2 linked regions of the Oreochromis niloticus genome follow. The protein of the gene in region 2 purifies or fractionates together with the protein of the main gene of each other region. This does not show direct contact. Links are inferred from orthologs where the notes say so. Each region holds a gene or a part of one and is shown on either strand. Other genes may lie near its edges. The genes, in order: pstpip2 and tyrosine-protein phosphatase non-receptor type 12.

Region 1 (7,879 bases), on a different chromosome or scaffold from region 2:
AGAAGGATCGTCTTGCTTCTTACAAAACAGTGTTGAGACTTGATGTTAAGAAACAGGTTTGAGCTATTGATAGCACAGACCGGCTTTTAAACATGTTACATACGTCAGCCACATACTCAAAAAGAAATCCCCTGTTGGTCACGAGTCAACTTCCTCCTCCTCCTACTTTGTTTACGAGCGTCTAATCAGTAGTGTTAAAGGTTAAAATGGTTAAAACTTAGTATGTTTTCACTTTGCTAAAGATATATATCCTACACTATACTTTATTTCGAAAGTCACATTTAAGAATAACACGGACAATAGAAATTGACACGTACATATGTTTTTTAAAAAAGTTAGAAGTCTTAGAATGAGCTCATAACCAAATCAAAGAGAAAGCAAAACAATATGTGAACCAGTTCCACCGAAGCAACATTTCATCAGACCAGTTTGTTAACTGAAAAAAGCTCACAAACCAACCATAAAGAAAACAGTACAGAGTGAATGTACGGCAACAGTTCACAGCCACATTTTGTTTCCTGGCCGATAAGATTAGATATTTAGAAACACTGTTCACTGTTCACCATGTACAGGACAGATATCATTGGACGTATTATATAAACACAAACACAGAATATTTAAAACAACAAGCTGGAGAAAATGTTTCTTTACACCAAAACCTTGCATTAACCGGTGTCACGCAAGTTTCCGTGACTGAATTAATGCAAAAACAAACAAGGCCAACACCACTCTAATCACGTTACACACACTGGGCACGTGACCTGTTTACGCTAAAGGGTGATGAAAAACTTTGTGACGTGGAAGTCAAAGATATGTGCATTGCGCTTCTTCCTTAAAAGTGCATTATTTGCATTGTGCTTAGTACAAGCGCCATGAACTTGTTTTGGTATGCCTTCTCCTTTCGTACGAAATGGGAAGTACCTGTAAAATATACCGCTGTTTAAAATCAGGTGATACGACGGCTTAGAGAGTTGCAGTATTATTTCTTTATTTAAGGAAAAAGTATTTGCTTTTGAGAACTGAGTTAAAGTCCAAACTTTAGGATTAAGAAATCTAGATTATTGAAAGTACCACAATATAAATGTTTAATGTATGTGGCATCATGGGTCTGTTAATACCTATGCCACAATGTTTACTGTTATAGCTAGTCGGTCTGGTTTTAATATACATTCAACACCTCTTTATTAAACCTGTTCAGCTGCTCATCAATATCTCATCCAACCAATCACATGGCAGCACTCATTGCATTTACCATGCAGACAAGGTCAAGACTACCTGTGAAAGGTCAAAGCGAGTATCAGAATAAGGAAGAAAGTTAAAGTGACTTTAAAAGTCACGTGGTTGCTGGTGCCAGATGAGCTGGCCTGGAAGTTTCAAAGACTGCTGATCTATTTGAATTTCCCCACGCGTCACCATCTCTAGAGTTTTAGTAAGAGAAAGAGAAAATATCCACTCAGCTTAAAGCAAAAGAGGAAATTCCGGCCTCAACTCCCAGTGGCTTTTCATGGTTAGACAACAGAATATTCGAAAAGTGTTGCCTGGCCTGAGTCTTGATGACCAGAGTGTACCAATCTTTTAATCCTGCTTCCAGCCTCTATGCCACAAATAATTAATAAAGCCATACTGAAGGCTGAAGCTGGCCCAACCCTGTACTAACAGGGTGTAAACTAGTCAGCAGTTTAGCCTAGTGGCTGCTAAACACATGATGGGCCTCCTTTAAAGGGCCATGTAATTAAGAGCGAATTTAGATTGAGAGCAAATTTCAAATTACATTTCTGCATTTTTTTTTTTAAAAAAAAAACATATAGAAAGTGAAAAATTATGTACGATATATTTATGATCCCCTCATCTTGCCTGGTATCTGTCAGGGTACCTGGGTGTTGGACCCAACTTTTGTCATTGATTAGTTTCCCATGTATGTTTCCTGGTTAGTGTGATAGTCTTTTGTCTCGTCTGCATTATGTCTAGTTCTACTTCCCCTGTGACATTAGTTAGATTTATTCCAGCTGTGATCCCACCTGTTTCCTGTCCGTTATCCTGTCTGTTTAAGCCCTCGTTTCCTTGTCTCGTTGTCCTCAACTCCTCGTGTGTGTTTCCAATGTAGTTAAGTCATTCATGTTCAGTTCAGTCTCTGTAATAAATCCCTACTCCATTCCAAACCAGCCAGAGAGTCCTGCATTTGGGTCCTCTCTCTCTTCTCCACACACCTGAATGTGACAGTATCCACTTAGCAACAGGCTGAACAGATCCTGTCATTTTCCTTTCATAACAATAACACGAAACAGGCATTTATTAGTATACTAAATATGTATACAGTGGTATAATTCTATGTATATTTTTATGTCTCTCTATATATAGTACTTGTATGGCAATAAAACAATTTTAAAGGTTAGTGGGAAAATGTCTTTATATTTTAATTACTGTACTACTACTATTATTGTACTACAGTAAACGTACTTAAATGGGGCAAATCTAAGTGGCACCACTGCACATTTCACACAGCTGCTAGTTGTCCACAGAGCTCAGTGGTCACATGGTTACAGCAGGTGTGTCATTGCTGCTGATAACAGCATTGTAAAATGCATTGGCCTCTGAGGTTTTCTTTTATTGCCAGGTCCTTAAGGTACAAGTATATGTTTTGAATGTAAATCAACAGGCTTATCATGGTTTCTCTCTTGTGCAGTCTTGTGACCTTTTTTATGAAAGTTTGTGTTGTTTTGCAACGTCTCTGAGAGGAAATCACCCCATTAATCTTCCACTTCATGGTTGGGGTTTGTGTGAGTGACATTGCTTTGGTGGAAATAAATAAATAAATTGGAAAACACACTGACTTTTTTGGGGGGCTTTCAGGGGTAGGTTTGAAGTCGGTGCTTGTGTTATTTGTGATGGGAGCAGGTAGCTTGTGTGAACAAAAAAAAGTTGACAGGCTTTGACCTTTGTTTGTGTAAATAGTGACAAATGAAGAGTACACAGATGTGACATTAATAGTCAAGCTGTTCGTTAAATAAGCCGTTCATTCCATCTGGGTTGAAGTGAATTCAGATCATTTAATGTAAAAATTCTTAGGAAATGTAACTTTACCTAAAGGTATGCATATATTTATATGTAAATATTAAACACTTGTTCCCTATTATATATTATAAATTAGCAATAATATTATAACTGTCGTATTCATGTGGTTAAAGTGGAAAAAATTTTAAATTAAGAATTAAATTTTGATTTATTAGATTATTATTAAAATTTATTTTATTTGTATGGTCAATTTGTGAGACAGCAAAAACATGTAAATGGATTCTCTGTAAAGCTAAGGTCAGCTGGGTTTAAACTTACCCTGAGTTAAGTTTAACCTGTGTAGGACCCTAACCCACAGCAGCCCATGCCTGATTTTTAATGTGTTACAGGGCTCAAATCAAAAATCTGTGTGACACTGGTACTACTGGTGCTTATGGAATGCTGTTCCATAAGCACCCACACTGGAAATTCCTTTGCTGGTAAATCAGAACATCCAAAACATCAATTTATATTGGAATAATATAGAAACTTGAGTGAAGATACACCCCCTCCTTTTTTGTCTGTCTAATTACTTCCTGTCCGAGATCAACATGCTAGACATGCACATTAATACTTGTATGAATAAGTGACACAAATACTCAAACTATACTGACTGGCGTGTGATGGGGAAATTCTGAAGTGGCATGTTTTAAAATTTATGAGAAATAGGACATCATAGCTTGTTTTGAGTGTTCATGTTTGTTCTTTTGTATAATTCATCTATTTGTATGCTGTCTACTCGTTGTTTGTTCAGTAAAGTTCATTTATTTAAAAATAAAAAGTAACTGCAGCTGTGTAAAAGCGAAATGTTGCCCTCTGCTGTCGGGGACCTGAAGTACAACGTAGTTTAAAAAGAAAATGATAAACGAGAGTTGTGTGTCACTACAGTTAATATAATTACATATGACCGCTGCACCCTTACAACCTTTGAAAAGTAAAACTAAAGCCAACTCAGGTAACTGATTAACTTATTAACTGATATTAATTAATAACACATGTAGAATGATAAGAATTCTTGTGCCTTTAATGTGCACAAGAATCAAGACAGAATAAAGCCCAGCTACAAAAACCACGACACAGATAAAACCAATGAAATAAAATCCAAACATAAATATGAATCCTATCTGGTTTCTAGTTATTTAGGAGTTACACAGTGTAATAGCCACCGATAGAAAGGATCGAAAGGGATAGTTCAGTCCTGCACCTTGGGACAATGATGGATTGTCCCTGATGCTGAAGAGGTTGTTCATTAACATGGGCTATTTTGAATCTTCAGCAGTGAAAGGCTCAAGGGCAGTTAATCCATTACTGTGCTACTGCTGGTATTACAGCACTGTAAGGTTTTCCTATTTGTCTACACTGTGTTTATTTAACAGCACTATTTACCGATTACGTTACAAATTAGGATTTCATATGTTTTCTTACAGTGTACTACTTTAGTTTTATTTGTTGTTAGGGATCAACCCCCTCAAATGAACTACTTAAATCATGTTGTATTTTCTTCTTCTTGTTGTTCTTCTCAACATTATTATTAATATTAATATTATCATTATTATTATTATTATTATTATTATTGTTATTATTATCGGACCAGTTTATACCAACTGTAAACACTGTAAGTACGCCCATTAGCCATCAGATGGCGGCAAAACCAAGCTCAGCGCAAGAATCCGATGAAGTTTTTGGCGCTCCAGTTGTCACGTGACTGCGCTTGCGTCACTTTGACGGGCTTTGCCTGACAGACTCAGCTCTTGCCTGACAGTCGGCACTTTCTCTTACATGATCAGAGAGTGCTTGCGATAAAGCGCCTGTCTGCTGCCTGCTCCGTTTACATGATGAAGAACCTTCATTTTAAGGATTTCTTCTGGGTGAGGTTTTTTCTTGTCTTTTTTGTTTGTTTGTCTTTCTGTGAAGTTGTGATTGGAATTTGAAACATTTTATTTTTTGATTCAGCTTCAGATGGTTTAATAAAAAATTGTATTTTTGTATTGTATTAATTATTAGAAACGGGAATCCTGTTGAGGGATCTAACGTTCGTAAAATAGTATGGAAAGAGGAGCATCAAAACTAAGCTATTAAAAACACTTGATATGAACTGATGGGGAGTTTTTGGTAATGCAGTCATGTGTAACCTGACCAATGTTTTATCAGATCACGTTTCTCTCTCTGCAGTGTAAATAGTAAATGTCATTTCCTTTAGTGGTGTAAAGAGTAAACTGAATAATCCAGCAGATTAGAGTGGAAATACTGAGAGTACCAATAACTTCTACGCAACATAAGCAAATATGTGTAGTTAAATTTCACTGCAGGATTTTTGCATTGTCTAAGTATGGCCTCATATGGTGTATTTTAAACCAATAGAAAGTCTGGCAAGTTGATTATAAGCTGTTGCCCTCACCTTAACTAAATTACAGAGATGCCTAGTCCCAAACATTAATTACACTCAGAGTCAATTATTCTGAAGCTACAGTGCTCGTTTATGTCTGTAGGGATGTTTAAACAAGTTTAGCCAGAGCGTGGCTGTCCTACAGTTAACCTGGGTGTGGGAGTAGAGGTAGCAGAGGTACAGCTCTCTGTTTCTTTTAAGATATGTGCTTTGCTGTAAAACTGTCTGCTGTAATACTGTCTGTGCATCTTGCTGACAGAACTCGGACCTGACCTCCACTATCGGGTATGATGCCATCATTCAGTATCTCAATGATGGCAAGAGGACATGCAAGGAGGTGGAGGATTTCATGAAAGCCAGGTAATGCCGTCATCCTTATATATAATAATGCACAACTGATGGGATGTTTGGCTCTAACCAAAGTCTGGAAAACTGTGTTCAAGCTTTACATTTACAGGCCAGTTGTTGCTATCAATGTAACTGACTGCAAGATAGGTAGATGTAGTGCAGGTTTTGGCTGCAGGCATGCAATTAGGATGAAGAGAGTGAAAAGAAAATAAACTCTAAGAACGACAAGTGTAGTGGAGGAGGACAGCATTTAGAGCATTTTGAGATTAAGGACAGTACTGGAATACAACAAATAAAGTTGCCTAAAAAAGTAAATTTTAGTTGCTATAATCTAAAAAAAAAAATCAGATAAATACATATTTTGATTATTAATTATATAGTCAGTCAAACACAAACACGTCCTACCGTCTTGTAATTTGTGCAAAGCGCACTATCGCAGTTATATGATTAAATACCAGAAAAGTAGTAAAATTCTGCTTTCTAAAAATTCTCTAAGGTTAATTCTGCACACTGTTGATGAGATGAGAGATGATGAGATAGCCTTTATTTGTCAGTTGCAGGTCTTTTGCCCGCAACCGAGATGACAGACCTTGCCGACCGTACATACAATACACAAACATCACATTGGGGAGACAGGTCAGGCTAGGTAGCGAGGAAATAAACATCGAAATGTGTAACACAAAAGGATAATACAGGAATGCACAGATATCAACACACCATAGCACAATAAACACAGACAAGCAACATGGGAAAGTGTTCCAGTGTGTACATCTGATCTGGGACAGCTGCAATCTTTCGACTGCGCCTCCAACTGACCCGATGTCCACATCAGAGGGGAGGTAAGCGTTGGAGGTGGCGTTGGATCCGGGGTAGGGAGGGGTGATGCGTCGGTGGATCACAGTAGAGCAGAAATGAAGTCCCAGTCAAGCAGGAATGATGTGACGCATCAGGTTTTATAATAGAGACGTATAAACTTTCACATCTAATCATTAATTCATCTTCCTCTTATAATAATTAATCTGTCCGTGCTCTCCCACACACACATACGCATACCAAAAAAACAAAAACACTCCACACATATAAAAGTCCAGTGTGTAGTCAGAAACGTGACCTAGTGAGGTTAATGCTATGAAAAAAGGAGGATATTATGCCAAAACATAACTGTACGTTTCCTAATTTGGGACTCACCATTTTTAAACCGCAGTGGTTTTAACAGTAATTGTGGGAAGATTTACCAAAATAAAAGTAGAGTAAGGAAACATGGTCAGAATGAGGTGTTTTGTGGGAAACGGCGGCAACAGTCGAATTCTTTCAGCTTTCGGTTATGCAAAAACAAATTCTTCAGGACACCAAAGAGCAGCCACGACAGCCCGCCGGTGTGGAGGGAGGACTCAGGTCAAACTTAGTGTGAGAACTTCCTGGTTTAGGTTGTTTGAGTCGCATGTTTTATGATTTTTTGTAAATAGTGTTAACTATATCTTGATCTGTGGCTGTGTAATTATATTTGAGTCTGTTAGAGTTGCATTTTATTTTAAGTCTCCTATTAGCATTGATAAGCAAATTAAGCATATTTTAAGCGGTCAGCATTATAGCATGCTCATGCATTTGTATAGTAAAACTGTATTCAGTTGTATATTTATATGTATGTTTTTTTTAATATTTATCATTGTACAATGCATATTAGAATTGATAAATTATTTTCCATTTTCTTCTCCAACGTTGCATCAATGTTCCTGTCAAAACTCTTCAGAGAAAGAACAGACTCCAATTATAACACCACACATGTAAATGTTGTCCTGTCTTTTTTGTATCAGTTAATAATTTAATATGTAAATTTATAACTTCTAAAAAATACTGATAGTGAAGCCTAAGGGATGTATAAATGTAAATTTATGATAAAGCATTACCTTTCAGAGATGTCTAGTATGGGTTTTGCATGTAAATTCATATACAGTCTGTTGGCTGGCAGACTGTTCTGTTTGTTGGCCGAATCTTTGCATGTATGCTTTTACGCTGCCCTCACTCTCAATGGGTTGTTTCTTTCAGGGCATCAGTTGAAGAGAAGTATGCCAAAGAACTCCTTAGTTTGTCCAA
Region 2 (7,522 bases):
CCGATTACCATGACTAATTGATTTAATGGAAGCACTTGAATGCCCCAGCGATTAAGTTTATATGAGCTGAATGATTGTCAAGGGACTGTCTAGAGACGTGCGATAGCCTAAGGCTAACAGGAAATATATTGTATTTCATGCCAATGAAGTTCATTTGAAAGGAAACCACAGACATCACACAAATAATCAAGAGTTAAAGACTGACAACCAGTCAGTAGTGTCCTACAACTTCTGAAAAACACCACATTTAATAGCCTAAAAACGCTTGGTGGGTGTTTTGCTGGAAAAACTGATGGGAAGAAACACTTTCAGCTTTAAAAGCTTTAAAATTGTTCTCCTCCTGTACAACGTGTGGTTGTTGTAGGCAGTTTGACAAGGCGTGGACGTGTGTAACCTATGAATGACAAGTATAGTGGTGCTAAAAGAAGAACCTGCATTTAACCAGTTGAGTCTACAAACAGAATTTAAGGGCGAGAGAAAACGGGCAGGCAATAAAATCACAAACATATGGACACTGTACTTAGTCTACTGCGTAAAAATTCATCTAAAGAGGGCATGCATGGTGAAATTAATCTTCTGTAAATAAGCCAAAAGCAGACTAGTTCCAGCTCCGTAACGCTCGTCCACCAAGCACTTCCTTAATGCCTCTCACATAGCTGAGAACTCAATTTTTTTTTTGCCGAACATCTCCCAGCTCCTTGTTTTCTGCAACTCTCACTCAAAGGACAAGATAGAAGGCTAAGTCATGAGCACAAAATTAGACACAGATTCGCTTATTACAGAAACTGTTATGTACTTAATCTGAACGAGAGAGAGAGGCCTCGATCCAAAGTGTGCCAAAGAGTTGCATTTTTAAAGCCAGGACAAAATGTTATGAAATGGGCCAAGAAAGAATGTTGCAAGCTCCAGCAAGCAGCTTGCATGAAGTAGGGAAGTGAGGAGAGTCTGTGTGTGGGGGGAAAAGTTAACCATTCTGGTGCTGAGGAGCTTAATTCCCACATAATCAAACTGCAACATGATTAACATGAAACTAAGCTGGACGATAAGGCTGCTCATGAAGGAAAGTCTAAACCTGTTAAACCGTAAACTTGCTGTAAATTAAGATAGTAAATCAATTTCCACCGGAACATTTCTAAACATATCTAAATTAAAGTGGGCTCAATGACAGAAATGTTTTTATAGGAGTGACATTCCTGTTGTGGCATTTTAAACCATTTCACAAGCCTTGGTCCTATTTTGAGTCCAGACTTTCAACACAGTGACATCCAGTTATGTAGTGAAGGCAAACTAATGACTGCGGGTCAGCAGTCACCGCAAAATATGTAATCAAAATTACTTCAACAGCAAGCATCTCTAATCTCAAAAGATCCTCTCCACATGTAAGAAAGTTACCAGATTAAAAGTAATGCTGTTGTAAGGTTTAGTTTAAATCAGGGATGTCAAACTCATTTTAACATTGTGGGCCAGATACAGCCCACTTTGACCTAACTACATGTTTGTACCCGAGAGAGCTTAATAGATGGAGAAAAAAAAACTGCATGATAGAAAAATAATTTTTTGTAGTAAATGAAAGAAGTCTGTCAGCATGACTCTTAAATAGTAAGACAAAAACCTGTAAAATGGCATGCTACAATTAGGTGTATCCATTGCACACATAAATGACCTAAAAATAAACAAATATAACAACCATAAATTTCTATAATAGACAAAAAACTGGAACCTTTCAAGCATTTAATTTTTAAAATCTTTGCCGTAGCTTGAATCGCCATGTGGGTGCCTTTATAAGTAAAGATAAAGCTGTAAAACATTTGAAAATACTGTTAAAAGTCCAAAATTTATACCCTCAATCATGTCTTCCAAACTTTGGAGTAGGTTCTGATTGGCGTCTTTGCTTGGCCTCCAAGTCTTAGGTTTGACAACCCTTGTTTAAATGGTCATTTTTTATATGGGTCCAGTGTTTGGGGAGCTTTTTGTAATTTGCTTCCGTTAAATTGGAAATGTAAATACAAGTTTGCAAGTGGCCAAATTTATGAATGACCACAATAGATACCTGCTAAAACTTCTACTAAAATTGAAGTCATTTTATAAATAGCTGACAGTTTTGTTTTTTGTTTTGTTTTTTTATTACTGGAACACAGGGAAAACCACAGGAAATAAAGCATGCAATCAAGCTTAGGTTTGTGGATATTTACTGCTTATGAGGACAATGAATCACTGCACTGTGTCTCAATCAAGCATATAGCCACAATAAAAGATATACCTACAAGCTGCTCCAGCAACGTCATTAAAAAAATAAATAAATAACCAAGAGCTAGAGAGACAAGAATATATCGCGTCTTTGTCATTTGCCCTTTTTTTTAAATTTTAAAGAAACAGGAATCGGTTGTATTTCTGTGGCATGGGAGACAATGCTAGGCCGCCATGTAAAGCCTGGAAATGGGAGGAAAAAGGAAGAGGGCAGTGTGGCCGCCCCTGCCTCACCTCCTGGGGGATACACAGAGAACCAGGAGACGGGGAGGGGGCTGGGTGTGATATGAAGGGTCAGTATGGAGGAAAAGGTGGAGGTTATAAAGGGAAGAGGGTACATGTGAGACAGATATAGGATACAAGAGGCTAGGTAGAGGCGCCTGTTAATTTTGACCCACCATAAAGTCGCTGCCGAAGTTATCCTCTCCCCTCTCATCGTTCCCCTCGCTCATGGCCTTCACCCCCTGGATAAACTTTCTCAGGATGCCGGCTTGGTCCATTCCTTCAATCTTCTTGTTGCCTTTTCCTTTAAAAAAAAAATCTCCCAAACTGGCAGGGGGGTAGGGGAAATGTTACAAAAAAATAAAACAAAAACGGACACAGGGAAAGAGGGAAGAAGGAAGGGAGGGGAATAAATAAAAATAAATAAGCTTCACGGGTCCTCCCAGAGAGTCATCGTCCGCTCACAACAACACCTTTTTTTTTTTTTATTATCGCCCCATGTTGTTTCTCCCTTTCCTTCTTTCTTCTGGACTGTTTTCACAACGACAGCGGTTAGTCCCAGAGAAAAGCAGCAGCGGCCGGGTTTTCTGCCCCGTAAAGAACTTCACAACCGCGGCGGTGCACAAACTGTAAACACTTGGCTATGCGAGAAAAGAAAAATAAAGGAAAAAAGACAAGAGCCTAGGTCTGGCCAGCCTATGTACCCCTCCCTGTCTACCTCGGTTGCCACATTCACACACTGCTGCTCGTTATTCGCTACTGGGGAACATCCGGACTGGGTAAAGCCAAGGAACAATTAGGCCCGCCCCTTCCAGGATATACTTATATCTGATTGACTAACGCTGACCAGGAATTAAAATCCAAGTGGCTAAACTGGGTGTCGCTCTACCAAGTAGCGTGTTCTCATTGGATAGAATGTGTGCCTGTCGTTTTGACGCTAATCGTCATTGGTGAGATAAATTACGATCCAAAACCGTAACGTTTAAATAAACGGCGTTACTGTTTTGCTGTAATTTTTTATCGATACTTAAAAAATTATTTGTTTTTATTCGATGATATGCTGCTTCACATAAAAAAATGTTTTTTCTTACAGTCTGACAACTAAATTATATATATCTAAATAGGTCATCCGTATGATTACATTTCATTGGGAAAACAAACTTATTTATATCTTCGTGAACGATATAGTCCTACCCTAGTGTAAATTTTACATAATTTCATTTGTCTAAAACTTTAGTAACCAAATTATTTCTCAATCCTACAGTGGTATTGTAGTACTTCGCACTTTACGAGTATAGGTATATATTGCAATTCACTGCGTGTCAGCGCTACTTAACAAATACTAATTTAATGGGAACTGTTTATCAAAATGTACAGATACACCTTTCTAGATCTGTGCTGGTAATTTGAATTACTATAACCTTCTCTATAACCTGCTCTCAGAAAATACCACTCACTGAATATTTTCTCTCTTTTAGGCCATTCTCCATAAACTCCATTTGAAAATCTCAGTAGATCATCAGTTTCTGAAATACTCAAACCAGCTCATGTGACACCAGTAACAATTCAGAGTCACTCGAATCAAACTTCCTCCCAATTCTAATGCTCAGTTTGAACTTTTGTAGGTCGTCTTGACTATGTCTATATGACTATGTCATGCATTAAGTTGATGCCAAATGAGTGGCTAATTAGATATTTGTTTTATAACAGGTGTACCTAATAAAGTGGAGGTGAGTGTGTATATATTCGTGCATTTCTGTTTCTTCACATCGGTGGAAAAACATTGCTGGATGTTTTTTTAATTTTTCACTTTCTTAAATCAGTGATCACATTCATTTTTAGAAAAATAGAGTATATCAGTAAACGTTTGCATACATTTGCATACATGTATTGAAATCTCTTGGCTTTCAATATCTAACTATCCGTGGTCTAAAATCAGAGAGAATAACTATAACAAATAATCCTAAAACTCAAATAAATAACCCTGCCATGAAGCCATAGGATGGATGGATGGAGAGATAGAGAGATAGAGATGGATGGATGGATGGATGGATGGAGAGATAGAGAGATAGAGATGGATGGATGGATAGATAGATAGATAGATAGATAGATAGATAGATAGATAGATAGACAGATAGATAGATAGATAGCTAGAAAGAAGCAACAAACAGCCAAGAGATTAATGGGTCAGATATATAATCTGGATTAAAATGTGACAGAAATAGAGACAAAGAAACGTATCATGTATCACGCACATATTTAATTCTCCAGTGTGACTCAGTGTGTGTGTGTTTAGGTGATGTGTTTTGTCACATACTCACTTTTGCAGTGATAATGCTGATCTTAATTTTGTTGTAAGTTTTGTTTCAAAGACAATAAAGGCCTTCTAATTCTAATTAGGCATGCAGACAGTGTAAAATTGTCACTATTGTGGTAGCAAAAGCAATAGTAGTTATTAGTACTATAGCAGAAAATGTATTAGCATTGAAAGTACATGGTATACAGCAGAAGATTGGCATTATGTATGTGTTATGTAATAATGCTAAGAGGTTCTAATTTGAGCATCCAGTTCATTTAAATTTGATGTAACTGACAAACTGAGGAGAAAGTGCGAGTGACAAAGACGGAGAAAAAAAGAGAGGAACCAAATTGGTATTCAGGATAAAGCTGTCTGGGGACGAGAACTCAATAGACACTTATGCACGACGAACTGTCTTCCAATAAACACAGAGGGGAATCAAGTCACTTTGTTTTCCTTTAGTTCTAGCTCTGACAACAAACAAACCCATCTATTCAGCTAGAGTAAGAGGGAGAAGGAGAGGGGACGCTGTCACCGAGCCAACAAGCCTTTCCTCACACAAACTGCTTTTTGTTGCTCTTGTCTTTAAACGTATTTGCTTGTTATCCCAGTAAATATTCACTGTTTTCTTTGCTGTCCCAGTTTCATGTCCTTCTCTCTTTCCTACATTTTCTCTCTCGTTGTTTAATTTTATTTCTGAGCTGACTCAAACTTTCTTGCCCTTAGCTGTGCACTGAATGGAATCTATAGTTTAGTTGTTACTGTATATAAGAGATGCATTATCTACTAATCCAATAACTGAATTCTGAACATTTTTGGGGGATTAAAGAGCCTAAGAAAGTTATTCAGCCAAAAACAACAACAACAACAACAGCAAAAGACCCCAACATATGCTGAAACAAAGAAATATTTAGTATTTTGGTATGTATAAAATATATATTTTTTTTAATTTAAGAATTTGATTTATCTTGTATTGACACTGAATGATTAACTGACTGGTCATGTAAGCTCTGATGTGCAGTATCGTGAGTCTTTGCTGTTGTCATCTCAACCATCAATTATCTTCTCATTGCTGTACAGTTGCAAAAACCTGCAGTGCAATTGTTGGTGTTTTTATGGCAACAGATGTATGTTTTCAAAGTCATTAAAGTCTTTTAAAACTTTATATTATGAGCAGAAATTATTTGAATCCATTCACTGCAGCCAGGGTCATTAGTCTTAGTTGACTGAATATTGAAAATTGGAAAGAATACTGTTTAGGAACATGTTATTATTAATGTCATACTTTTACTAATAATACTCATATTACTGGCTCAGACACACTAAAAATAGGACGGCAACTTCCTTGTAACTAGGAAAAATTAATGGTTTCCCAGTGTCTGCATGGCTGAATCTTTTTGCATACAGTCACTAATTGCAAGTGGTCGCGGCGACCGACTGCTCACACAGAGCTTGGGCATCCAACACCGTCAACTTCTGGCCGACCACTTTCAATCACAAGGCAGTTGCACAGGTTGCCTGGTGGGAGGCAACCTGTCTCCAAACAATTCTGCCGATACTTGGACTGACTGCAATTACTCTCATACACACTGGTGAGGGTTAACTATATAAATGAAGACAGATTGCCAACATGTTACAGTCAAGCTAAGTCAGTTTGCACTTTTCAGTGCAACTTGTCTACGATGCACCTCTTTGACTCAGCTGGTCAGGTTGCTAACTGGTTGTACTCTGGTTATATTCCTATATAAAAGCATTTTGGAGTTAAATTACCGCCCTGCACCGACTACATCAGAGTTTGTGGAAGAATTTGTGTTACAAATCTGTTAGGTTCTCTCTGGACTCTGAATGTAAGTAGTTATTGTTAATTTCTGTGTATGTAGATGGCAACAGTTTTCCCAGTTTTTCCCAGTTAACTGCTGTAATATCACAAACAGATTGCATAATTGCCACCTTGATCCCATTTAATTATAAATTATTGCAGACCGACTCCAGCTTTTCACCATCTTAACCCAACAAGGTTTCTTTAAAGACAGCACCTGACCCCGCCTTCGAAAAGACTACTTCGAAGACAATAAGACTGCAAGTTACCACAACTGGTGTCCAACCGCTGCTTTCCCTTATGTTACTGTAGCATATGGTAGCTTTGTCTTTCTTTATAAAAAGTTCTTACTCATTATTATGTGTACAATCCTGGGCACAGCTCCTCAGTTCAACTTTAGCTTGTTTCCCTCTAAGACCACTTCCTTTAACCCACGTTTCTTCTGATTGGCTGCCCCTCTCAAGCACAAGGTGTGAATACAGGTGGATGGGAAGCAGGAAAGGCATACTGTGTCAGTTTTAAGGTACGTAAATAATGATTTCAAGCTGATTCTGTTTCTTTGTGAGTCTGTAAAAAAGGATGTAATTGTGTAGCTGGATTATTCTGTTTCCTCCCAGCACAGTTCATTAGAAACAGGTCAAGCAGACTGAGGAGATAAACACACATCAAAGAGCACTTTGGTCTACTGTACTCTGTGTGTGCATGCGCATGTGCATAACTTCTCTTATGGCTGTATGATGAGGAATATTTTAGGAAAGAGCTTGTGGCCTTCTCTCTTTTCTCAGCACTGGCTCTGGTTGCACTGCATCTGACCCTGACCTCTGATCTCCATGCAGAGAAGATGGGAGTCAAAATTTCACAAGAGGAGGAGAGAGGGGGGAGGATCAGTTACACATGATATTTTTATGACCCTTTTTCCTTCCTTTACCAATTTC

The links.
Region 1: the proteins of tyrosine-protein phosphatase non-receptor type 12 (region 2) and pstpip2 purify together in Homo sapiens (affinity purification with mass spectrometry; 4 studies listed by BioGRID and IntAct, counting the BioPlex papers as one, with this or other methods). This does not show direct contact. The link is inferred for Oreochromis niloticus from reciprocal best matches to the Homo sapiens genes PTPN12 and PSTPIP2.

The regions. Positions count from the first base shown.
Region 1 is NC_031972.2:17,158,965-17,166,843, forward strand, and holds the start of pstpip2 (proline-serine-threonine phosphatase-interacting protein 2), read left to right. Parts: upstream 1-4,771; 5' UTR 4,772-4,883; coding exon 4,884-4,919; intron 4,920-5,696; coding exon 5,697-5,797; intron 5,798-7,831; coding exon 7,832-7,879. UniProt on the Homo sapiens protein: Binds to F-actin. May be involved in regulation of the actin cytoskeleton.
Region 2 is NC_031981.2:9,889,693-9,897,214, reverse strand, and holds the start of tyrosine-protein phosphatase non-receptor type 12, read right to left. Parts: upstream 3,261-7,522; 5' UTR 2,946-3,260; exon of another isoform or gene 2,798-2,945; 5' UTR 2,748-2,797; coding exon 2,646-2,747; intron 1-2,645. UniProt on the Homo sapiens protein: Dephosphorylates a range of proteins, and thereby regulates cellular signaling cascades. Dephosphorylates cellular tyrosine kinases, such as ERBB2 and PTK2B/PYK2, and thereby regulates signaling via ERBB2 and PTK2B/PYK2.